Linked DNA regions of Astyanax mexicanus. The protein of the gene in region 2 interacts with the protein of the main gene of each other region in a biochemical or structural test. Links are inferred from orthologs where the notes say so. Each region holds a gene or a part of one and is shown on either strand. Other genes may lie near its edges.

Evidence for each region.
Region 1: the proteins of cftr (region 2) and pdzd3a form a complex in vitro, tested with the Homo sapiens proteins (2 studies listed by BioGRID and IntAct, with this or other methods). The link is inferred for Astyanax mexicanus from reciprocal best matches to the Homo sapiens genes CFTR and NHERF4.

The regions. Positions count from the first base shown.
Region 1 is NC_064425.1:970,554-983,593, reverse strand, and holds the start of pdzd3a (Na(+)/H(+) exchange regulatory cofactor NHE-RF3), read right to left. Parts: upstream 4,859-13,040; 5' UTR 4,771-4,858; coding exon 4,755-4,770; intron 1-4,754.
Region 2 is NC_064416.1:24,816,302-24,829,044, forward strand, and holds the start of cftr (cystic fibrosis transmembrane conductance regulator), read left to right. Parts: upstream 1-7,970; 5' UTR 7,971-8,584; coding exon 8,585-8,637; intron 8,638-10,487; coding exon 10,488-10,598; intron 10,599-11,365; coding exon 11,366-11,477; intron 11,478-12,437; coding exon 12,438-12,653; intron 12,654-12,743. Other genes in the region: asz1 (ankyrin repeat, SAM and basic leucine zipper domain-containing protein 1), read right to left, coding at 1,026-1,124. UniProt on the Homo sapiens protein: Epithelial ion channel that plays an important role in the regulation of epithelial ion and water transport and fluid homeostasis. Mediates the transport of chloride ions across the cell membrane.

The DNA.
Region 1 (13,040 bases), on a different chromosome or scaffold from region 2:
TATACTCTGTTAATATACTCTGTTATTATACTCTGTTATTATACTCTGTTAATATACTCTGTTATTATACTCTGTTATTATACTCTGTTAATATACTCTGTTAATATACTCTGTTATTATACTCTGTTAATATACTCTGTTAATATACGCTGTTATTATACTCTGTTAAAAAACAAAACTTACTGTTCATGCGAATGCATATAAGCAACATCTGTCTGCATATAGAGATGCTGTTAGTGCTGCTAAGACAACCTACTTTTCTGACCTCATTAACAGTCAGCATAGAACAAACTCTCGGCACCTCTTCTCAACAGTTGATAAGCTATTTAAAAGTCCAGACAGCACTCTTGTACCCTCTCCAGCCCTTTGTAACACTTTCCTACACTTCTTCGACTCCAAAATAGCAAATATTCATAGATCCCTGATCTCTGCTTCTTCTGGACCCCCCTCTCACTCCTCTCATACTACCAACCTCTCTCATTTTAACATTTCTTCCGCCTCTCTTGCTGCCTTTAACAGTATTGACTCTTCCTTTATCGCTAATATTGTAATGTCTTCTAAGACCACAACCTGTGCTCTAGATCCACTCCCCACCAACTTAACTAAAGCCTGCGTACCTGCCTTGCTCCCCCACCTCACTGTTCTCATCAATCAATCACTTCTCCTTGGTCAGGTTCCATCTGTTTACAAAACGGCTGCAGTCACTCCTATACTAAAGAAACCTGGTCTCGACCCTTCTGACCTCAACAACTATCGCCCTATTTCCAATCTCCCCTTCCTGTCTAAAGTCCTTGAAAGAACTGTGGCCTGCCAATTGCAACATTATCTTGAATCACAAAACCTATTTGAACCCTTTCAATCTGGTTTCCGACCCTTCCACAGTACTGAAACGGCATTGGTCAAGGTTATTAACGATTTACTGGTAGCTGCTGATGCTGGTGCTCTAAACATTCTTTTGCTTCTAGATTTAAGTGCTGCATTTGACACAATTAACCACTCTATCCTTCTATCTCGACTCTGTGAACTTGGCATCGTTGGCACTGCCCTGGACTGGTTCTCATCTTACCTAACTGACAGAAAACAATTTATTTCATTGGCTGGCTATTCCTCCCATACCTCTGTGATTAAACACGGAGTACCACAAGGATCAGTCCTTGGACCTCTCCTGTTCATCATCTATATCCTTCCTCTTGGGCCTCTGTTGCGTCACTTTAACCTAGACTTCCACTGTTATGCGGACGACACCCAAATTTATCTTAGCACTAGTTCTATCAATAACCCACCCACTACTCATTTAGAAAGCTGTCTCTCTGCGATCCAGAACTGGATGAAGGACAATTTTCTCATGCTAAACAGTAATAAGACCGAGCTCATCCTAATCAGCACTAAAGCAGTCCTCAATCAAACTCCTACTCTCTCTCTCAACTTTGGCGGTACAGTAATCTCTCCCTCTACCCAAGTCCGAAATTTGGGCGTTCTTCTAGATTCCACTCTCTCTTTTACAGCTCACATCAACTCTGTGGTGAAAACTGCATTCTTTCATCTGCGCAGAATAGCTAAAATTCGACGATCCCTTACTCAGTCCACTGCTGAAATACTCCTTCATGCTTTTATTTCCAGCAGACTAGATTACTGTAACTCCTTGCTTGCTGGCATTAGTTCTTCCTCTATCCATAAACTCCAGATGGTACAAAACGCAGCTGCCCGTTTACTCACTCACACTCGCACCCATGAACACATTACACCTGTTCTCCAAAATCTTCACTGGCTCCCTGTTAAATACAGGATTCAATTCAAGATTCTCTTACTTACCTATAAGGCATTAAATAATCTTGCACCTCCTTATCTGTCAAACCTCCTTCTTCCTTACAGACCATCTCGATCCCTTAGGTCTGCTACTGCTGGACTTCTTAAAGTCCCAGCCTCTAAACTCCGTGGCTTTGGTGATCGGGCTTTTTCCAGACTTGCTCCTCAACTATGGAATTCTCTCCCATCTGTGGTCAAACAATCCTCCTCTCTTTCCTTGTTCAAATCTACACTCAAGACTCACCTCTTTTCTCTTGCCTACGGCCTTCCCTCTGTTTAATGTACTATACCACTTATCCCTGCTGTCTGTTCTCGTACTATGTTGATTGTCTGTCACCACTTGTTGTGTAATGTTTCTATTTGTTTTCACAAATGATGACTGTAAGCGTCTTTGGGTTTTAGAAAAGCGCTATATAAAAATAAAGTATTATTATATTATTATTATTATTAATATACTCTGTTAATATACTCTGTTATTATACTCTGTTATTATACTCTGTTAATATACTCTGTTAATATACTCTGTTATTATACTCTGTTATTATACTCTGTTATTATACTCTGTTATTATACTCTGTTATTATACTCTGTTAATATACTCTGTTAATATACTCTGTTAATATACTCTGTTATTATACTCTGTTATTACTCTGTTATTATACTCTGTTAATATACTCTGTTATTATACTCTGTTATTATACTCTGTTATTATACTCTGTTAATATACTCTGTTAATATACTCTGTTATTATACTCTGCTTTTATACTCTGTTATTATACTCTGTTAATATACTCTGTTAATATACTCTGTTATTATACTCTGTTATTATACTCTGTTAATATACTCTGTTAATATACTCTGTTATTATACTCTGTTATTACTCTGTTATTATACTCTGTTATTATACTCTGTTATTACTCTGTTATTATACTCTGTTAATATACTCTGTTAATATACTCTGTTATTATACTCTGTTATTACTCTGTTATTATACTCTGTTAATATACTCTGTTAATATACTCTGTTATTATACTCTGTTGTTATACTCAGGTGTAAGGAAAATTTATACTGGACACACAAACTAATAAACAGGTCTTCAGCACTTAATTCATTCTTTTCTATTTTTGCCTGGTTTAAAAATTAACAATATTTTAAGGTTACCCGTAACCATGGTAAATTTCCATGACCCATTTACTCATTTACTTTAAGAAAACTCTCCTTTACACTCTTTACACAATGTGCATTAAATGCTTCTTTGAGTAATGCCACATACGAACAGCTTTTAATTCTTTATAAATGTAATAAACATGTTATTAAAATTAAATAAGCTTTTAAAAGGTCCTTTAAATAAAGAACCTTTATTTGATGTAAATATTTCTTCATAATCTCTATCAAAATCACGGTTCAATGGAAAAACAAAAATATATATGATTGTTTTATAGTATAGTTTAGTTCTCATCATTTTTGAGATTGTATCTGATTGTATTTGGTGTATAAAAGGACACAGCAAATAGTGACTAAATGATAATATCAGAAAAAAACATTGGAAAAAAAATACTAAATCATTTGATAATCATAATGCAGATTAGCATTACAAAGTATTTTAAAGTACACATTTTTATTAAATGGCAGAAATGTGAAAATAAAATATATATCTCTGTTATCCTGAGATCATGTGTGAACACTCAGTTTAGAGTAAACAGAATCCACACGTTAACATTAGCTCAGCCTAAACACAAATACTGTGCAATATCATATCACAAATTTCCTTGATGGACTGAATTTTATATATTTTATATAAGTTTTTAAAGATATACAGTACCAAACTGAAGAACAAAAAGCTGATACAATTTTTAAAGCTCTAAATAATTTAAAAATAACTTTATTAGAAACATTATTCTTTAGGAAATCAATGTGTATTTACTCAATGTATATTTCTAATCATCTCATTACCATAATACAGATAAGCATACAATAAAAATATACAGCTCTGGAAAATAAAAAATAAGAATTATCAAATTGAAAATCTCTGGAATATAATCAAGAGGAAGATTGATGACCACAAGCCATTAACAAACACTGTGCAATATCATATCACAATTTTCCTTGATAGACGGAATTTTATATGTTTTATAAAGTTATATAAGTTTTTTTAATTATGCCAAACTAAATATAAAACCTACAGTTTACTTCTAACACAAAAATATGAGCTAGTACTATTTTTAAAGCTCTAGATAATCTAAAAAAAATAACTTTATTAGAAACATGGTTCTTCAGGAAATCAAAATATATTCTTTTATGGCATTACTCAATGTGTATTTCTGATCATCTCATTACCATAATACAGATAAGCATACAATAACGAAATCTACAGCGCTTATAAATGATGAGTTTCTTTGATTTTACCAAATTAAAACCTCTGGAATATAATCAAGAGGAAGATGGATGATCACAAACCATCAAACCACCAAACTGAACTGCTTGAATTTTTGCACCAGGAGTAAAGCAGCATAAAGTTATCCAAAAGCAGTGTGTAAGACTGGTGGAGGAGGAGAACATGCCAAGAGTCTATTCCACCAAATATTGATTATTTCTGAACTCTTAAAACTTTATGAATATGAACTTGTTTTCTTTGCATTATTTGAGGTCTGAAAGCTCTGCATCTTTTTTGTTATTTCAGTCATTTCTCATTTTCTGTAAATAAATGCTCTAAATGAGAATATTTTTATTTGTAATTTGGGAGAAATGTTGTCTGTAGTTTATAGAATAAAACAACAATGTTCATTTTACTCAAACATAAACCTATAAATAGCAAAATCAGAGAAACTGATTCAGAAACTGAAGTGCTCTCTTCATTTTATTTGCAGTGATTTTAAACACTGGTCTTGTATTGATGATAGAAATGATCCAGATCAGACTGGCTGTAGGTAGGTAAGAGCTCAGGTTACCTGTGGTGTATCTCATGGTGCTGCTTGTCTGGATCCTGGTGGGTGTAATGGGCAGGAGACAGCGAGGAGGTTCAAGGTGCAAACTGAACCACCGAACAGTTCAGTCCTCTGGACTCCTCCTTTCTGCTCCACACTGAGTTTAATGTGTAAGCTAAGGTTTATGAGACTATAGCCCAAACAACAGACCCAGCTTATATTACATAACATCATCTAACAGAGGGTCAAACCTCAAGAACCAAACAGAACATATTTATCACTTAAAGAGACATTCTGGAGAAAATAAAAGCACACTGATTTAACCCTCCTACCACATGACTGACCATTTATTAGCCAAGCTAATAAATAATACATAACCAAGAAAAATTTATCAGTACCAGAATTGATTAAGATTAGCTGACACAACAACAATCCCCAGTGTTTGTAGTGTTATATACTAGTGAATCTCAAAAAATTAAGAGTATTATTAAAATGTTACTTTATTTCAGTAATTTAGTTTAAAATGTGAAACTCGTATATTATATACAGCTCTGGAAAAAATTAAGGGACCACTACAGTTTCTCTGATTTTGCTCTTTATAGGTTTATGTTTGAGTAAAATGAACATTGTTGTTTTATTCTATAAACTACAGACAACATTTCTCCCAAATTCCAAATAAAAATATTCTCATTTAGAGCATTTATTTACAGAAAATGAGAAATGACTGTTTTAAGAGTTTAGAAATTAACATTTGGTGGAATAATCCTGATTTTTAATCACAGTTTTTAATCATGCATCTTGGCATCATGTTCTCCTCCACCAGTCTTACACACTGCTTTTGGATAACTTTATGCTGCTTTACTCCTGGTGCAAAAATTCAAGCAGTTCAGTTTGGTGGTTTGATGGCTTGTCATCATCCATCTTCCTCTTGATTATATTCCAATGTGCCAAGTCCTGCTTGAAAATGAAATCTGCATTGGCTGTAAGCCATAATCATCAACAATAAAAGAAATAAACACTTAAAATAGATCATTCTTTGTATAATGCATCTATATAATATATGATATATTGATATATATGAATATATTTCACATTTTAATTATTGAAATAAAGTAGTTTTTCAATGATATTCTAATTTTTTGAGATGCACTAGTAGGCTGAAATGGCGAATGTCATGAGACAGGAAGTAGAATCATGTCCCGTGACTTTCACCAATGACTTGTGGAGTCTTTTGTATGTTTGCATGAACAATTCAGGCCAGATGCCACCAGTCATGATCATTACCATTTACTCACCTGGAATACTGTGGATTGAGGAATATTAAATCAGCTCTGAGATTATTTACATTGCCTCGCTACTACTTTTACCTCAATCACAAGATAACACCTCAACACTTATACTTCTGTTGGCATTCCCAAGCTGTCCTTTGTGGTAACACTTCATGATCAGTTTACATACTGTTATCCCAACACTGTAAAATCCTTTTAAGTACCTGGGTAAGTAGAAGTTCAACATAGTAAAATAAAAAGCATTGTTTTGCATGAAATAAAAGACTCAGACAAACATTTACTCATTTAATCAGTTTTGTTTAATTTATTCATTTTAGATTTATTTGCTTTAATCCATATTTAAAAAAAATAATAATGCTCTTTTTTCAACCGTAGTTAAAGGCACAGGATTTAGGATCGGACACAATTCCAAACTCATAAAATACACCTTGCAGGTTAGTAGTACCATTTGAGGATTATTAGATAAGATAATTTTATGTTATGAATTATTAAATAATTCATAACTGTAACAGTAACATTATCTCAACTGAATACAAAGCTAAAACATGCTCTGGTCAGTATGGCTAGTGTGGTGTATTAGGAAGCACATCATCAATATCACACAGATACCCTGCATACCCAAGATTGTAACTTTACAGGTGAAAAAACAAGCGTCTAAACTGATGATACACTACATTGCAAAAGGTATCCGCTCACCTGCATTACTGTGTTTGGTGATTTAAGGTTTGGATGGAGCTGCTTGACTGTAGAAACTCTCAATTCCATGAAGCTCTTTACGCTCTTCTCGAGCTGATCTTAAGGCCACAAGAAGTTTGAAGGTCTACCATATTTTTTACACTATAAGATGCAACTAAAATCCTTTAATTTTCCCAAAAATTGTCAGTGTGTTTTATAATCTGGTGCTTCTTATGTATGAATTCTACCAGTCAGGTATTAAGGATACAGGAGTTTCAGTTTAGTTCTCCAGCAGTATTAGCATTAGCCGCTAACCGTGCTAAGTGCTAGCTCTTTCACCATTCAGAGGTGAGTATTATTGACCAGTAGCCTGCTGCTAACCCTGACTAGCACTGCTGGAGCAGCATTAGCATTACCCTCTAGTTGTTAGCTGCTAAAGCTAATGCTAATGCTCCAGCTTCAGTGGAAATCTGGAAACCTAAGTTTGCTGTAAATAAACGAAAGAGCTTCTCTCACCCAAATAAACATTTTTCAGGAGAGAAATCTTTGTAGATTAACATCCAGAACATAAGAATTACAGTTTTGTTTACTTAGTTTAGCTTTACAGGTCGCCACCCAGCGGCAAGACCTGCTGAGTTAGAAAAGAAACATGGCGACACCCCTGTTCCTTACTAGGGTCGCATAAAAGACCCCTTATAAATCTGGTGCGAATTATAGAGCGAAAAATATGGTATATTGATTTACTGATTGATTGGTAACCACTGACAGTTGACTAATGCTACAGGATCAAGTAGAAAACCTTCTCTCCCTGGACTGTAGAGACAGTTACTCCAACAAAAGCAGGATTTACTCTTTTTAATACCCTGAAAAACTATTAATAAGCAGATTCTTCAATCCTTTTGTCCATATTGTGCATGTTGAATACTACTTGACTTGGTTACTTGGTTGAAAGTGTCAGTCTGTGATGTGATGTTTTAAAAACACTGTTCTTGTCATCTGAACTACAATATGCTACAATATTTATGTAGTTTTCTCCATTATTATTAAATAAAAAACAATAGGAACTCCTTTTCAGAAATCATTTCTGTTATTTTGGCATAAAACAAGTTTAAGCCACCAATCAATTGTAAAATGAAATACTGTTTGTCTCTGAAGCGTAAGAAATGCTGCTTACTTAGACACGATGCTCAGACAGGAATTAAATTTCAGTCGTTTTTGCTAATGGCTAATCGTCGTAACACAGCAAAATGTTCATATAGAGCAGTGAGCTGTTGATACATTAATAGTATCAAGGCCAATGGTTGCTTTTTGATTGTGATACACACACAGCTTTATCACAACTCTAGCTAGTGAGCTAGTTAACTAGCCACTATTTATGGCATTTCACAGAAAGCCATTGCCTCCAAATTAGTTTTTTAAGGTGTCTATGAAATACAGCATCACACGAATAAAGCCTATTATCTCTCCAACATGAATAAATGCAAACTATTACCATAAAGGAAGACCTGATTTCAACAGCATAGTCCTTTCCCTTATACCCTATTTTCCGCACTATAAGCTGCACTTAAAATCCTTTCTTTTTCCCGAAAATCGACAGTCTGCCTTATAATCCGGTGCTCCTTATGTATGAATTCTATCAGTCAGGTATTAAGGAGCAGTAAAGCCACTCCACTGAAGTACAGAGTTATACAGGAGATTCAGTTTAGTTCTCCAGCACCAGTGGGTAGAAGTAGCATTAGAATTAGCCACTAACCGCTATTTTCTCATTAACCCCGGCTAGCACTGCTGGAGCAGCATTAGCATTGCCTGCTAACTGTGCTAAGTGCTAGCTCTTTTGCTGTTCAGAGGTGAGTATTATCGGCCAGTAGCCTGCCACTAACCGCGGCTAGCACGGTTGGAGCGCTTAGCCCCTAATGCTAATAAAGAAATTCGGGAATCTAAGCTTACTGTAAATAAACGAAAGCACTTTATTCACCCAAATCTGTGTAGATTTACATCCAGCATTTGTTTGACATTAAAAGAAAGTCTTGGTAACACTTCCTATGAACCCTGTATTCATTATGTATTATAAATGCATTTATAAAGCATTAAATGACATGCATAATACCTTATAATGACTGTAAAAAGCCTGTATAAAGTACTTACAGCGGCATTCATAACACATTATAAACTACAAGTATAAGGGTTTATAAAGAAAGGGCTTATAATGCTTTATAATATATGTTCATAAAAATGTAGTGTTGTAATGCACTTTAACACAGATTTGGTATATTTTGATATAATGCATTATAATATGCAGCTATGATTTCTCAAATTAAGCTTTTATATGCGTGTGTAACACATTATAAAGCCTTATATACAGTCATTACTGTCAAGACTTTATAGTGTGGCATAATAAAATTTACTTCACGTTTAAAAAGCATATGAAAATTCACTTCACTTAAAGCTTAATTTGAGAAATCATAGCTGCATATTATAGCTGCATCTTCATCATCACCACCATCAACACTATCAACTGGCAGACAAATCATCTCCTCCAGTCCACCAACCTTTACTGCTGACCAGGTCAGGAGACAGCTGAGGAGACTTCACCCCAGGAAGGCAGCTGGCCCGGACAGAGTGTGCCCCAGAATGCTCAAGGCTTGTGCTGTTCAACTGGGTGAGCCCTTCCAACATGTTTTTAACCTGAGTCTGCGTATAGGGAGAGTTCCTGCCACGTGGAAGACAACCTGCCTCGTTCCAGTTCCTAAGAAAGCACACCCGAAGGAGCTGAATGACTACAGGCCTGTTGCTTTGACATCTCATGTGATGAAGACCATGGAGCGACTGCTGCTGGACCAACTCAGACCTCAGGTCCACCATGCTGAGGACCCACTGCAGTTTGCGTACCGGGAAAAGGTGGGAGTGGAAGATGCCATTCTCTATCTCCTGCACAGAGCTCACTCTCATCTGGACAAGGGGGGGAGGTGCTGTGAGGGTCATGTTCTTCGACTTCTCCAGTGCCTTCAACACCATCCAGCCCCTACTACTGAGAGACAAGCTGATGGAGATGGAGGTGGATATGCACCTGGTCACCTGGATCACTGACTACCTTACTGGGAGACCACAACATGTCAGGATCAGGGACTGCTCCTCTGACACAGTGATCAGCAGCACAGGAGCACCACAGGGGACTGTTCTCTCTCCAGTCCTGTTCACACTGTACACATCAGACTTCAAATACCACTCGGAGTCATGCCACATGCAGAAGTTCTCTGACGACACTGCAATCGTGGGGTGTGTGCGTAATGATGATGAGAGGGAGTACAGAAGCCTGGTTGAGGAATTTGTGGTTTGGTGCAAGATGAACCATCTGCAGCTGAACATCTCCAAAACCAAGGAGATGTGCATAGACTTCAGGAGGTCCAGGCCCTCTGCTCAGCAGCCAATCTCCATCGAGGGGGTCGACGTGGAGGTGGTCAAATCCTACAAATACCTTGGTGTGCACCTGGACGACAGGCTGGACTGGTCAGTGAACACTGACTCCCTCTACAGGAAGGCTCAGAGCAGACTGTACTTCCTCAGAAGGCTCAGGGCTTTCAACATCTGCCAGAAACTCCTCCTGATGTTCTACCAGTCTGTGGTAGCCAGCGTCCTCTTTTACACTGTTGTGTGTTGGGGAGGCAGCATCAGCAAGAGGGATGCTGGACGACTGGACAGGCTGGTGAGGAAAGCTGGTTCTGTGTTGGGACTAGAGCTGGAGTCCTTAACACCACTGGCAGAGAGGAGAGCCCTCAGTAAGCTGCTGAACATCATGGACAATGTTCACCACCCTCTGCACAGCACCATCACCAGGCAGAGGAGCTCATTCAGCGGCAGACTGCTGTCCCAGTCCTGCTCCACAGACAGACTCCGAAAGTCTTTTGTTCCTCAGGCCATAAGACTGTTCAACTCCTCTCAGCACAGCAAACTAAAGACTCTGTGAAACTTTTTCATTCCGGCCACTCTGGCCACACCATGGACACACCCCCAGCTATGGACACACTCTCAGACTTGCTGATGCCTAGAACACTTTTTATAGTTCTACCATATTTTGCACTGCTCTGCTCCCTGCTCTGCTCCCTGCTCTGCTCCCTGCTCTGCTCCCTGCTCTGCTCCCTGCTCTGCTCTCTACTACTCTGGTCTGCTGCTGTGCTGGTTTGCTGCTGTGCTGCTCTGCTGCTGAAAGCTTGCTTTAATCTTCAGCTTCTACACTTTTCTCTGTTTTCTTCTCTTTTACTCTCTTCACACTTACTAATCCACTTTTAGTCTGCTTCCTCTTTGCTCTACACACCTATTAATCCACTCTCAGTCTACTTTTATAGACTTTTTCCTCAGGTTTGCTGGATTAGCTGTTTGCTGCTGCAGTTTGTTTGTGTAAGTTTCTAATTTCAACTGAAACAAGGTGAGTGCTTTTTTTCTCCATGGCTTCTGCTCAGGTTTACACCTGTTTAGAGTGTGGCATGTATAGCTTAGATCCCTTATCCACCGATACTGGTAACAATAGTGGTATTTGTACTAAGTGTGAGATAGTTAGCACCTTGGTGGATAAGGTGAATAAGTTAGAGCTGCACGTCCGGGGTTTAATAAGGGATAGACAGCAGGATTCACTGTTAGCAGCCCCGGGTGTCTCAGGGAGAGTTAGTACCCCCTCGACTCCGGCCTTAGAGCCCTCACAGCGGGGCGAATGGGTAACGTCTCGGCGGCATAGTCGAAAGGCTAAGGCTAATGCTACCGCAAAGGCCACAGCCAGCCCACCTAAACACCACGCTCCCCCAGTTCACGTGTCAAACAGGTTTGCCCCGCTCAGTGAAGCACCAACTGAGGAGCCTGTTAAAGGTACTCTGGTGATAGGAGACTCTATCGTCCGACACGTGAAATTAGCTACTCCTTTAGGGGCACCAGCGGCAACAGTTACTTGTTTACCGGGAGCCAGAGCACCGGACATTAGTGGCAACCTTAGGTTAGGGAATAGGAGATATTCGAGGGTAGTAATTCATGTAGGGGCCAATGATATTCGTCTGCGGCAGTCTGAAGTAACTAAGGCTAATATTAAAGAGGTGATTAAACAGGCCCAGACGCTGTCCGAGGAAGTAATCTGCTCTGGCCCCATCCCAATGAGGCGTGGTGATGAAGCTTACAGCAGGCTTTCTTCGCTGAACCGCTGGATGTCCAAGTGGTGTGCAGAAAATCATGTGGGCTTTATAGATAACTGGCTACACTTTGAGGGCAAGCCTGGTCTTTTAGGTAGGGATGGTGTCCACCCCACGCGGGAGGGTGCTGCCTTACTTTCATGCAGCATAGCTCATAGTCTTTTAGTTAGTCGGCAGAGTAGTATTAGAAGCTGCTGACAATCCAGAGCCGGGACCAGGCCGCAGACAGAGAGGCTTAACCGACCGTCTGCGAGCTGCAAAGAGACGTTACCTAGATACCAATGTATTCAGACTGTGTCTGTCCCCCGAGTCAAACAAAAACATCAAAAAACTAAAACAGTAAATCTAAATAACTTAACTTATATTAAACAATCATATCCAGACTGTAGTACTAACATTTCAAGCCTAAAGATTGGTTTACTTAATATTAGATCTCTAAATTCAAAAGCAGTTCTGGTGAATGAAATGATAACTGATCAGAAATTCGATGTTCTGTGTCTGACAGAAACCTGGATTAGGCCAAATGAATATGTAGCATTAAATGAAGCCACCCCTGCAGGCTATAATTATATACACAATCCGAGATTGTCCGGTAGAGGAGGTGGGGTCTGCATACTTTTCCAAAGTACCTTAGTTAGCAATCAGAAACACTATGAAAATTTTACTTCTTTTGAGCTTCTTTACACCAGTATAATTAATCCAGTTACAAAAAAGAATGCATTTTCTTTAATTAACATCTACAGACCACCAGGGCCCTATTTAGAATTTTTAAAAGAATTTAGTGATTTTGTCACAGACTTAGCAGTAAGTAATGATAAAGTGATTATAGTTGGAGACTTCAACATTCATTTCGAAAAATTGGATGATCCATTAAAAAAGGCATTCACATCGATTTTAGACTCAGTTGGTATTATTCAAAATATAACAGGACCTACTCATTACTGTAATCATTCTCTGGATTTAGTTTTGACCCTGGGTATGAGCATAGATAACCCGAATATTCGTTCTCAAACCTCCGCAATTTCAGATCATTACCTTATTTCATTTAAATTACATCTCAGTCATAATATACGTACATCCCCTAGCTACTCTGTAAAACGTTCAATTACGCCTTTTACAGCCCAACAATTTACAGATAAGCTTCCAGACTTATCAACTCTAATGTACTCTCCTGT
Region 2 (12,743 bases):
TTGGTTGAAATTATATGGCCAAACTTCAATGTATTCCTATGGGAGAGCTTTGACCAGTTTTATTCAGACTCCTACGACTGTACAAATACAACTGAATTATCCAAAATCTGTATACAAGTCCACTATTCCAGATCAGGGCGGACGTGGCGGAGTTGGAACGGCAGTAGAAAAGTTTTTAGTTCAACGTTCAGTTTAGCTCTCAAGGTAAAGAGATGAAGTCGTTTTGGAGAATTTGTATTAGGGAATTATCAAATAAAGAACAACGGGCAAATTCACATGTTGTGAAAAAGTGGAAATTACAGAGATAGCTTGATAGTTTGCTAGGTTACTTGGCGGTAATTGGTACTTGGAGGTAGCTAACCTAGTTAACTGTTTTTTTTTTTTGATTAACTGTTATTTAGTTACTAGCTGTTAAGGTTATGTAGTGGCTCTCTAAATAACCCATGCTACGTAGCTAGAGCAATTAGCGGTTATTTAGCTAGCTAACCTAATTAACTGGGTTATTTAACCTAGCGGTTATTTAAATAGACAACTACGCTAGTTACAAAGTGGGTATTTAGCCATCTATCGATGTTATTTCGCTAGCGGTTATTTAGTTATCTAGTTTATTTAGCGGTTGTTTAGGTAATTAGCTAGGTCGTTTATTTAGCGGTTGTTTAGTTAACTAGCTAGCTAGGTTATTTAGCTAACTAGCTCTGTTACTTACTGGTTACTTAGCTAGTTAGTTGGGTTATTTAGGTAGCTAGATCGCTTATTCGCCGGTTACTTGGCTAGTTAGGTGGGTTATTTAGTTAGCCAGCTTGCTAACTAGGTAACTTTGTTATTTACCTAGCTTAAATAACGTGATAATTTCTGTGAATTCCGTAAAACTTGTAAAGCTCTAAATAACATAAATTAACCACAAAACATCACATAAGAGGCATGTGGTTATGCTAACCTACACAAAAACGCCTACGTTAGCTAACTAGCTGGCGCTAGTTAAATAGTGTTTAACGTTAAATATCTCACTTGAAATGAAACACAACCTCAGAATTTGGACTCTTGCTACCACTGGTATACCCTGTGTCCCATTCATCATTACTCCCATCACTCTCGTCACCCGCAGGAAAGCCGTAGTCTATCATATTGAGCGTGTTAACGCTAGATAATTAAACACGGGCCTTAATAAAGGCGCTTTCACATCGCCAGCGGTATGCCGCGCTGCTTTCCGCTCTCCTGGACGCTGACCACCACTTGTGTTTGCGTTGTGCTACTGCTGAAGACGAGCCGAACTTCGCATGTGCTGATAATAGGCGGGGTTTTAGAAAACAGGTCATGTCTGCGGCCAGTGGTTTAGTGTGTGGTGTAGCTGCAAGCAGAGTTGCCAGGTTCGCGGTTTTCCCACCAAATTGGGCTTGTTTAAAAATCCAGTCGAAGGTGAAAATTCAGAGGTGGCAGGGCGACAGGACATTTACATCCAGGTGTACTTGTGGACTTTTTGTATTTTTTGTAATTGATTACATTGCTGTATAATATATTGTTTATGATGTTATTTTGTGCCACATCAGCTGGGGTAATGGATTTATAATTTACATACTGTAGACCAGGGGTCACCAACCTTTTTGAACCTGAGAGCTACTTCTTGGGTACCAATTAATGCGAAGGGCTACCAGTTTGATACACACTCGTGAAATTACAAATTTTCTCAATTTACCTTTAATTATATGTTATTATTAATAATTAATGACATTCATCTATGTGAAGACACAGATATCAATAGGCAACACTATTATTATAAATCTCTGCAAGTGTTTACATTTTATATTATATTTTAATATAATATTACATATTATATTACATTATATTGTATAATAATATATAAACTATAGGCTATCTCTAAGCTAATATTAATGTAATATAATCTAAAATTACATCAATGCAACTGTGATTTAAAAAAAAAAAGAATAGCAACAAAAATGCTATTTTTAGACCAGGCCTGCGGGCTACTCATAAGGTCCTTGCGGGCTACCTGGTGCCCGCGGGCACCATGTTGGTGACCCCTGCTGTAGACATTACAGTACAAGCAAAACACTTCCAGTTTCCATTTACACCCTGAAGAAAAACTAGTTGTCATTTAATTCACACCCTGAACACAGCTAAACATTCATATCTAACAGTGGGCTGTAAAGACTTTGGGAACATCTGGTCATATTTATTTTCTTTTTGTTTCAGATACAGATACCTTCATCACTACACTGCCTTCTAGGTGAGAAAGAGTGAGTCAGCATTAAGAAAACATCTCACTCAAATGCCTTATCCAAATGTGCTCCAGATCACAGAGCAATGATGTAATAAACAATAATTAATTATTGCTATAAACTGCTCTAATTTAGAATATGAAATCTGCCAGATTGTATATCATTAAATAGTTCAGTATTATTATTATTATTATTATTATTATTATTATTATTATTATTATTATTATTATTATTATTATTATTATTATTATAATTTTTGCAGTATAAAGTAGTCAGGATTACCATCTCATTAACCCACAAAATTTGTGGCAGTAGTGGCTTAGTAGTCATAGTGCAGGGGGTATTAATGACAGGGCTGTAGGTTCAATACTCAGGTTTGGCAAGCTGCCACTGATAGGCCCCTTAAGTCCTGTCATATATCGCTGTGTGTATGTGTGTGTTCACTGCTGGAAAAGTGGAGGCCATGTGACATCTGCAGCCAACACAATAATGGTAAATATAGTTGTCTTGTTAAAAATATACTAGGCACTTTGTTTTGTTAATGTGTCCTTTAGATTTACATACATTTAAATTATATATATTCAAACATCCATCCTGAATAAAAAAACAGTTCTTATAACTTCAGCATGAAAGGGTGAAGCTAATCTGCAGCACAACTCATGCAAATGTGTTGGTTTCTGTGACATCTCTAAAAGAAGTAATATGACACTATTTGTTTTAGCAGATTAGTATAATAATCTATTGATTTTATGGACTTCTGCTACCGCTATGATCCAAGGATTGCCTGTTCGAATCTCAGGTAATGCTGCTTGCCATCAGCATCCAGAGTCTGAGAGAGCACAATTATCCTTGCTCTCTCTCTGGGTGGGTAGATGGCGCTCTCTCCCCACACATCACTCCCAAGGTGATATCGCCTGTTATCTGACATTTCTGAGCTGGGTCTCTGGGTTTTGCTCTGAGTGCAAGTGTTGCATTACAGGCAATAGTACTGCTAAAAAATCTTGCTCAAGACCAGCTGGCCATCCAGAAAAAAGCCAGATTTTAAGCAGTGAGGGATAAAACTAAGGACTGGGTGGGGTAATTGGACTTCCAAATGACTGCAACTGGGAACCTCTGGCTTATAGCATTCCTGGTATCTACAATCTTCCAGACTAAATTGGTTCGAAGTTGATGACTTCTGCAGAACGCATTTCCTTCTTTGAAGGTCTTACCTGCTAATTACTCAGTGCCAACAATACACTGTTAAATGAATTATGAAATTATTGCACCAGCAGTTTATGATGACATGAAGGGTGTGCTGAGGGCACGCCTGTGATGATCACACCTGGACTCATTGAAGGGTTCTGTATGTAAAAGAACCAAAATTGTTGTTCTGTACGTTTAAATAGTTGGAACTGAGTGAGAACAGTCAGTTGTTTTCATGTGACTGCTTATTTATCATCCGTAATTTCATTACAGATCTAGAGCATGTCAGCAACTGAGAGCAGGTCGAAATGATTCACTCAGACTGCTCTAAATGCCCAAACTCATGCACACAAACAGCATAAACTCCCAAACCATTTCTCTGATAATTCTAATAACGATGGCTCACATTTTTGCTATCAGAATTTTGTGCCTTTTGGCCCTCAAAGATGTAATTTTTTTATTATTATTATTAGTTTTTTTTACATATTTATAAGACTTCACACTTCACTGTTTATGGTAAACTTGTTATGTTTTGAAGATACATTTTGATTTTCTAATTACCGTGATATTTTACAACAATAGGGTGGACTGCATAAGCTCTACCTCAGCTAAATATACAGACAAAGGAAGAAATATTAAGTGAAATTAATATTATTAATTACTGAACATGCAACAAGGAAACAAAACAAGTTAATCCTAAACAGTCCGTTGCACAGTGTTTTATGAAATTTAAACAAATATGCTGCAGACATGAAAGGATTGTTATATCGATAATAACCGATACATTAATGTCAGTTCTGCATGATTGAAATATGTCATATAAACATAATGACTTGGCCTATATGTAACCACTCTAATGCACAGTTCATAATTTCGGTCTGAGGTCATGACTTCAAGTCTCCAAAATTTAAAAAGCCTAAAGTTAGACTGCTTTATTCATTACACAACCATGTCTGGTGTGTCATTGTCCTAATGGAACAGGCCTTGCTGATGGTTTGAGCTTAAGCTGAAGAAGGGAGGGGCAGTCCACCACAGAACATGATGGTTTCACCACCATGCCTAACAGTTTATATATTGTTCTTGGGGATGAATGCCTCACTCTCCAAATATAATTTTGGTCACTGTGGCCATTCCTTGTGTCATCTGACAATAAACCTTTCTGCTTGAAGTATTTTTTCTTGTCAATGTAGTTGAGCATAACATTACAGTTTTTGAAGCAGGGGCCTGAGTCTTGGATAGAAGCCTCTCAGTTTATGGTAATGTGTAAAATCTGCTTAACTGTATAGGGTGACACAGGTGTTCCAGCAGCTTCCAGTTCATGGTAGGCCTGTCCCTTGATGGTTCTTGTGTTGTTCCTGACCATCCAAACCAGTTTCCTCTCAGCTGGTGGATGCATCCTATTTAATTTTGGGGGTTTTATGCTCACAAGGACATGCTACATTTTAGTCTTTTGTTCTTGATTTAAAATGTGTGTAAGTCAATACAATAAATAGTGCATTTAGAGCTGTGTAAAATAATTACAAATGTTTAAAAAAGTCAGTGTTGGGGCAGTGTTGCATTACTTATTTAATGTGGGTTTAGTTACCCTTAGGTTTTAATAAACTGTTCCTAAGGGTGGTAAATCTTGACAAAACAGGACAAGGCATTCTGTTAATTGCAGGTAAATGATATATATTTGTCTGACTCCTGATCCTCCTGCAGTGGGTAACTGATACTTCCTCTGCTAGACGATGGCAGAAATGGTACAGTTAGGGTATGGTTTACCAGAAAAAATACTGACATTCCAAAAGTAATGGGACAGAAACTAGTATTGTGTCTAATGGAAGCTAAAGAATGGTTCACTGACCTGCAGATTATGCTTGCTTGGGGCCTCCTGTGTTGAATGGGGACATGATTTCTGACAGTTTCTTGTTTGTTTGCACAAACAATTTTGGCTTCCAGTCACGATCCTTACTACCCACAACGCCGTTCACCATGTGTGGTAATGCCTTTTGGCATGTCAGTGTAAATGTCAGCCAAACAGACATTCTTTACCAGACATTCTTCTCAGATCTGGTGTATTTTCATATGTGTTTTAATTTTTAAAAAAAGAGAACAAAAAACATTTTATAGTAATTAAAAGAAGTATATTTACATTTAGAAGTTAACATGCATTGAATTTTGTGCTGCCAATATTCACTTCTGCTTATACTGAAAAAAACAGTTCTTGCTTATACTGAAACTGTAAATACAACTGTTTCATTCCTGTTGTCTCAATCTATAGGGGGAGTCAATGATTCAGTTATTTAGGTATTGCTCACTAGTTTTGCAGTAAATCCTTTGTTCATTTGTTATTGTGCTGCGCTATGATTCATTAAAGGGAAATTCCACCAGGTTTAGTTAATTTGTTGAGGTGTGAACTTGAAAGTCATTCATAGTGGTTTAATATGAAATCCAAGGCGAAACTTATTGTTCAAATGTTGTGATTACAAATGTGGCATTAGTAGTGGGCTGTCAGTCTCACCCAGCATAACTACTGCACCAATAGCTTCAGCAATTAGTTTCCCTTTGTGTTTATCAGAACTAGTTTTGAGTAGTAAAAAATTCATATGAGCAGAATTTATCCAGAATTTCCTATCCTCTTCCTTTTCTTGTTGCTGCTTACCCTCTTTCTTATTTACCTTCAACCGTTAACTGTTTTTTCTCTTAATGTTTATGTGGTTTGATTACCTTGGCTTCCAGATCAAAGATATTGTACTATAGCTATTGTATTCAAATACAGAGTGAATTCAAAAACAGTAGTGAAATACAATAGTAATTCACAATGGCAAAGTTTAAAAGGCCCTTAGTCCTGAATAAGAAATGCTGTAGTTCATTTTGAAACTTTTGCCTTTGTCACTTGATGGGAGATATGTGAGATTACTGAGGTGTTTATCGCAGGAGTCCTGTTTGAGCAGCAGGAGAGACATGTTGCACTCTTCCTTTTCTTCCGATTGGAAACTATGTCAGGAGATATAGAGATATCCTTATTTACTTTTTATTGTTCCCACCTCTTGACAGGTGCAACTATAAGGACAGAATGTTATTAATGTTTATGTTTGATGGACAAGCTGGTCAGCTAGGTTGACCAGTGTGGTTGGGCTGGTCATGCTATTCATTCAAGTCATACTTAACTAGCTTGGCCATGCTGGTCAACTACTTTGGTTATACAATAGTTCACCAGCATTGAAAACCATTGGTCAACTAACCTGGTCATGATGGTCAACAAGCTTGATCAACCATTTTCGCCATACTGGTCAACCATCGTGGTCATGCAAGTCAACCACCGTGGCAATGCTGGTCAAGCAGTTTGGTCAACCAGGTAAGGCTAAGACTATTCAACCACCTTAGCCATTCTGGTCAAGCTGGTCAACCACACTGATCATGTTGCCAATCAGCTTATTTAGGCGGTTTGACCACCACGTTATGCTGATCAAATTTGTCAACAAGCTTTTCATTCTACTCAGCCAACCTGGTCATGCTGGTCAATGCTGATCATATTGATTATGCTAGTCAACCACATTTTTCATGCAGGTCAACCACATTGGTCATGTTGGTCCTGCTGGTCAACCAACTTGCCAGACTTATCTTCCTCCTTTGTCGAGGAAAGTTGTTAATGCTGGTCAACTATGGTGGCTTGCAAAAATATTCAGACCTCTTTAACTTTTTATCATTTTTGTCACTTTTTCACAACTGCAAACGTCACTTCTTATGTCTTTCCTTCAACAATAGTTTTCTTCTTGCCACTCTCCCGTAAAGGCCAGATTTGTGGAGTACACGACTTATAGTTGTCTTGTTGACAGATTCTCCCAGCTCAGCTGTGGATTTCTGCAGCTCCTCCAGAGTGACTACAGGTTTTTTGTCTGCTTCTCAGACCAGTGCTCTCCTTGCTTGATCTGTCAGATTGGGTGGACGACCATGTCTTGGTGGGACTGCAGTTGTAGTATACTTCTCCATTTTTAAATGATGGACAGGTGTATTTATACTGAGAAAAGATTACACACAGTTATTAAATAATTAAAGCTACGTTCACATTACAAGCTACATTGCTCAAATACGATTTTTTGCTTAGATTGGATTTGGCGGTTCATTGTAACAAATGTAATTGACCCGTATTTGTGTGTAATGTGAACGAATCTATTTCTGAAACGCCTCACATGCGCACATTAATACATGTATAAAGGTAGCCTTCTTCCCAAACAACAATAAATATCATATTTGAGAGACGACTCGTAGCTTTACTAAGGAAGTAAATGTGTTAGCAGTTTATATGTGGAGCATCTTTTGCTCAATTGGAGAGCAAACAGCTGGTTTGAAGTACATGCTCAGGTCAAGCAGGGGGAAAAAGGCCAGGCGGCTTGCTTTTGCTGTTTTTTAGCATTTCTGTCCCACTTCACAATTATGTGCTACTTTGTGTTGCTCTCTCATTTAACATCTCAGTAAAATACATTAAATACGTTGGTTTTAAGGTGACAAAATATAAAAAATAAAGGAGTATAAATACTTTTGCAAGCCACTGTAGCGTGGTCAGGTTGATCACGCTAATAGATAAACCACCAAACTCAAACGACCTGTACTGGAAAAGAGCTAAACCGGTCAGTCAGTATAAGGAAATCCATGTGTCGGTTAATGTCGGTGTTGATGATGTCTGTATGTGGGGAATGAGTGCAGGGCGCTTCCTGCACTGAGTGTGAGTTAGGTACAGTGGTGTGAATATGTGGTGACTGTGGGCTCTGAATGACCGAGTCTCGCGCAGATCTCCTCCTCCGCCTCCGCGCGCCTGTTTGTGTGTTTGGATATCGTGTCTCCTCGCCGCGCCGCACGTGAGCTGATTGTGTTTAAAAGGCAGAGCGCGCGAGAGCGGCGTGCCCACAGGGGAGCTCGCGCAGTGCAGCGCGGACAGAGTGCGGTGCTGCTCGCGCGCGGATCACGGGGGGGCTCGCGACGTCCACGCGCACACACCAAGTACACGGACAGCGCTGTGAGACGGTGTGGGGAAGGGGGGGTTTCTTAACGGGGAGAAATACGGAGAACCCCTTACCCCTTAAGTGTATGAGTGTGAGTGTGTGTGGAGGACAGCAGCCCTATTGAAGGGACAGCAGATGTGAGCGGAGAGCTGCTTCCCGCGCCCGGGCTCGGCGAGCATGAACAAGTCACCTGTGGATGAGGCCAGTTTCCTCTCCAGATACTTCTTCTGGTAAGGAGCTGCTAGAATATTCCACGCACTGAATATAAACTCATTTACAAAAGGTGAAGTGAAGACATACTGAGAGAAAGAGGCTATAGCTGCTCTCGCAGTATCATATAGGGTTTATATAGATATAAAGCTCTGGAAGAAATTAAAGAGACCACTTCAGTTTCACCTCAAAATCTCTTATTTTGCTATTCATAGGTACATGTTTGCGTAACATGAACATTGTTGTTTTATTCTATAAACTACGGACAATGTTTCCCCCAAATTCCAAATAAAACAATTGTCATTTAGAGAATTTATTTGCAGAAAATAAGAATTGGCTGAAATAAAAAAGATGCAGAGCTTTCAGACCTCAAATAATGCAAAAAGTATTTGGTGGAATAACCCTGATTTTTAATTACAATTTTTATGCATCTTGGCACGTTCTCCTCCACCACTCGTCTTACACACTGCTTTTGGATAACGTAATGCCACTCCTGGAGCAAAAAATCTAGCAGTTCAGCTTGGTTTGATGGATCGTGATCATCCATTTTCCTTTTCAATTTGCTTAAATCAAAGAAACTCACTATTTAAGCGGTCTCTTATTTTTTTCTAGAGCTGTATATATATTTATAATAAAATGACAATCAAATATATGACAAATATTTTATTTAACTAAATTTTAACTATTTTAGTAATAAATTAAGCATCAAAGTCTTCAGCCACTCACAGAAAGCAGAACAGAGCCTCAGCAACTCTCCAGACTCGCTTTTCAGCTCAATATCTTAAGATAAAAGTAGTGCTACTTCAGTCAAACAGTGTTTGCTTAAAATATACTTTTCTAAAAATACAAAATAAACGAAAATAGTAACTAATTTAGCTAGCTCACATAAATCGCTAGATAACTTAAAGCATCTTTAGCTAACCACAGATTCCACACTATGCCTCTGTTTAAAATAATAATAATAATATGTTAATTACTAAAATGTTAATTACTTAAGATGTAGCTAAAGAAAATATTTTAAGATTAGATATTCGATTGTATTATAATTTTATTATAATAAATATTGATTATATTTAATTTGATTTTTTTAAATAAAATTTGATCCCTGGCAGATTTAGATTTAAGAGTACATTTGCAGCAATATAATGAGTATAAAATAAATAATCAAACTGTGTACATTTGCTTATTACCAGTATTGGAAAAAATGCATCTAACCATTTTTAGAGTGTAAAAACCAAACAATAAATCAACAGATTGATCTATAATATAAGTAACCATTAGCTGGAAATAAACCTCACATTTGTATTTTTTTAAACTGATATTTTTTAAGATTTAGCCATAGAAAAGCATTTGTTTGAACACCCCCTATATCTACCACGTTTTAACAAATGAAGCCATGTAAGAACAAATTCATTTCAAAATTGCAGCTTTAGGAGAAGGAAAAATAAGATTTTTTAGTGGAAGACTACATGTAAATAGGTTTTGTTCCAATTCAGAAAAAATTCAGAAAATTAAAATATAAAAATGCCAGTAACACCACAAAATAAAAATAGAAATTGTGTGACAACAGTCAAATACATTGTTATGCAAGAACCTTGTATCTTGTATCTGAAAGTTATAGTTAAGATATGTTTGAGTTTTTTCTGTTTTGGAGATCAACACAACAACAACAACAATATAAGGAAAACACTGAACTGAACAGCTAATTACTGCATGTGTCTCTTAGCTACAGTGTTACTAAAAGCAGTGTTACACTTTAAACACTTTTGCAGGTTTGTAGCATCACTTTTATAGACACTTTATAGACACACTGACATCGAAACACCCAAAAACAATTTGACTGACGTTTATTTGTTCTGACCTTTTGCAGGTGGACAAACCCTATTATGCGAAAGGGTTTCAGGGAGAAACTGAGGCCAACAGATGTGTATCAAACGGCATCACAAGACACAGCTGATGTACTTGCAGAACGGCTTGAGAAGTTTGTGTCTCCTACTCATCCTTGCATGCTCATAATGAATGAGATTATAAGTTTGCTGCTGTGGAGATAAGATATTGTTTTATTGCTTGATGCCAGGCTCATAGTCTTCTATTGTTTTATTGTTTAATGTTAGTTATCCCCAATTTCCCCCAGTACTCCTTCATTCAGTGATGAACAGAGAGTGACTCTGTTAACATTAAACATGAAATTTTATTTCATAACACAACCCTATTTACAGCCACAGGATGTGTTGTCCCTGCTCCTGTTGCAGCTTCCAGAGGTTTCAAAGGTCCTGTTACTTAAGCTGGCCTAAACACCGTCACACCTTTGAGTCAGAGTGTTAGATGTTTTGTGTTGTAAGTAAATGCTGCCTTGCTCCTTCCAGTAAAAGCCCTAACATGCCATGTTTCACACCACCCACTATGCATTTTCTTGGGTTGGGGTGCCAGTGCCCCTTTAACAGGCATCAAACACGACCTTTTAAAGTGCCAGGCCCCTGGTGAGTGATGGATAGTTGGCAGTATTTTTAGTCCTCAAACATGCTGGTTTTCTGGGAATTTGAACTTTTTATACAATTAAAAGCTTGGAGCAGTTTCCCTCTCAACCTGTCAGGGTCTCTTTGGCCCATTTAATAAGTTCTCTAAATCACCCTGGTTATTCACGAGTCTCCTGAACAATGTGGGCCATGGCTTCTTTACAGTGGCTGGGAGGATGTGGAGGGGTGTTTAACTGTTTCTTTTGAACTTTCTTTTTTTCCTTATGCACAGGGAATGGGACAGAGAAGTTATCTCCGCGAAGAAGAAGCCCAGTCTCCTCCGAGCACTTTCCCGATGCTTTATTCGGCCCTTTCTGTTCTTTGGAGTTCTCCTCTATTTGGGGGTAAGTCTCTGTAGCTGTGTGTCTCTCTCTATCATTCTCAGACTCTCTGGCATTCAAAGACTTCTGCATGTGGCAACAAGGAGCTGTTTCTGCATGAACAAGCAAAATAAGCCAAATCAGTGAGAAATGTATTGCGTGTTAGCTTGTGGTCAGCTATTGCTGGCTCTCTGGTATTACAGCAATGTAGTTGGGTGGTTCTTAGAGCAGTTTGCAGTGTAGTGTGACTTTTGCTGTGTCCTCCGCTTAGAGGAATAGCTCCTTCCTTTTATGTAAACACCGAAGGAGTGACTGTCCTGTTCTTATTGTTCTTGGTAAATGCCACATTCTGTGTAAAAGTGCAGTACCAGGTTGCTGCCCACTGCTGATCACATATTAACTGTGTGTGTGTGTAGTTTGGTTAACCAGTTTAGATAGACATGCTGCTCTCCTCTATTTTATATATTTATTCAGTACACAATTAAGTACACTTTTTTATATTTTTATTTTATAGTGTATGGTAAAGTGGATTTTAAAAATCTCCCACAATGCATTTAAAATTAACAGTAAATATTTTAGCTCAGTACATGTGCTATATGTCAACTTTATGTCCAATCAACTTTATGTAAATGAGCCGAGCAGTTGATATGGGGCTTCCTTAACAAGTGTGTCATGCCCACAGTCGAGGTACAGGTTGAAGATTCAGTACTTGAACAAACATTGAGCAGGAAATGTGGTGTCCTGTAACATTACCCTAACCTTGTCAGTCAGCATGCTTGTTTCGCTTCAGACATTGTTTCTATATCCCTCAGCTTGTCAACAAATGCACATGAATTGCTGTCTAATAAGTGTGCTCTCGTAGCATGAATTGCGTGACTCTCCACTATAAATGGAGAGTGTAATTAAAAGCAAAAGCATTGTGTTAGAATCGGTTTACTACAATACAACAAAAAGCCAATTCACCTTTGCGTATTCTTTGTGCAGGAAGCCACAAAATCTGTACAGCCTCAGCTCCTGGGACGAATAATTGCTTCATTCGACCCCTTCCACGAGCCAGAACGAGAGCAGGGCTACTTCCTGGCCTTCGGCCTGGGCCTTCTCTTTATTGCTCGCTTCCTACTACTGCAGCCAGCCATGTTTGGGCTGCACCACGTGGGCATGCAGATCCGCATCGCCCTCTTTAGCTTAATCTACAAAAAGGTGAGCTGCCAGCTATTCTTGTCCTCTCTTGTCCTAATTTCTTTGTAGTGAGTAAGGATGAGTTGCAAAATTTATTGCTGAGTGTTGTCA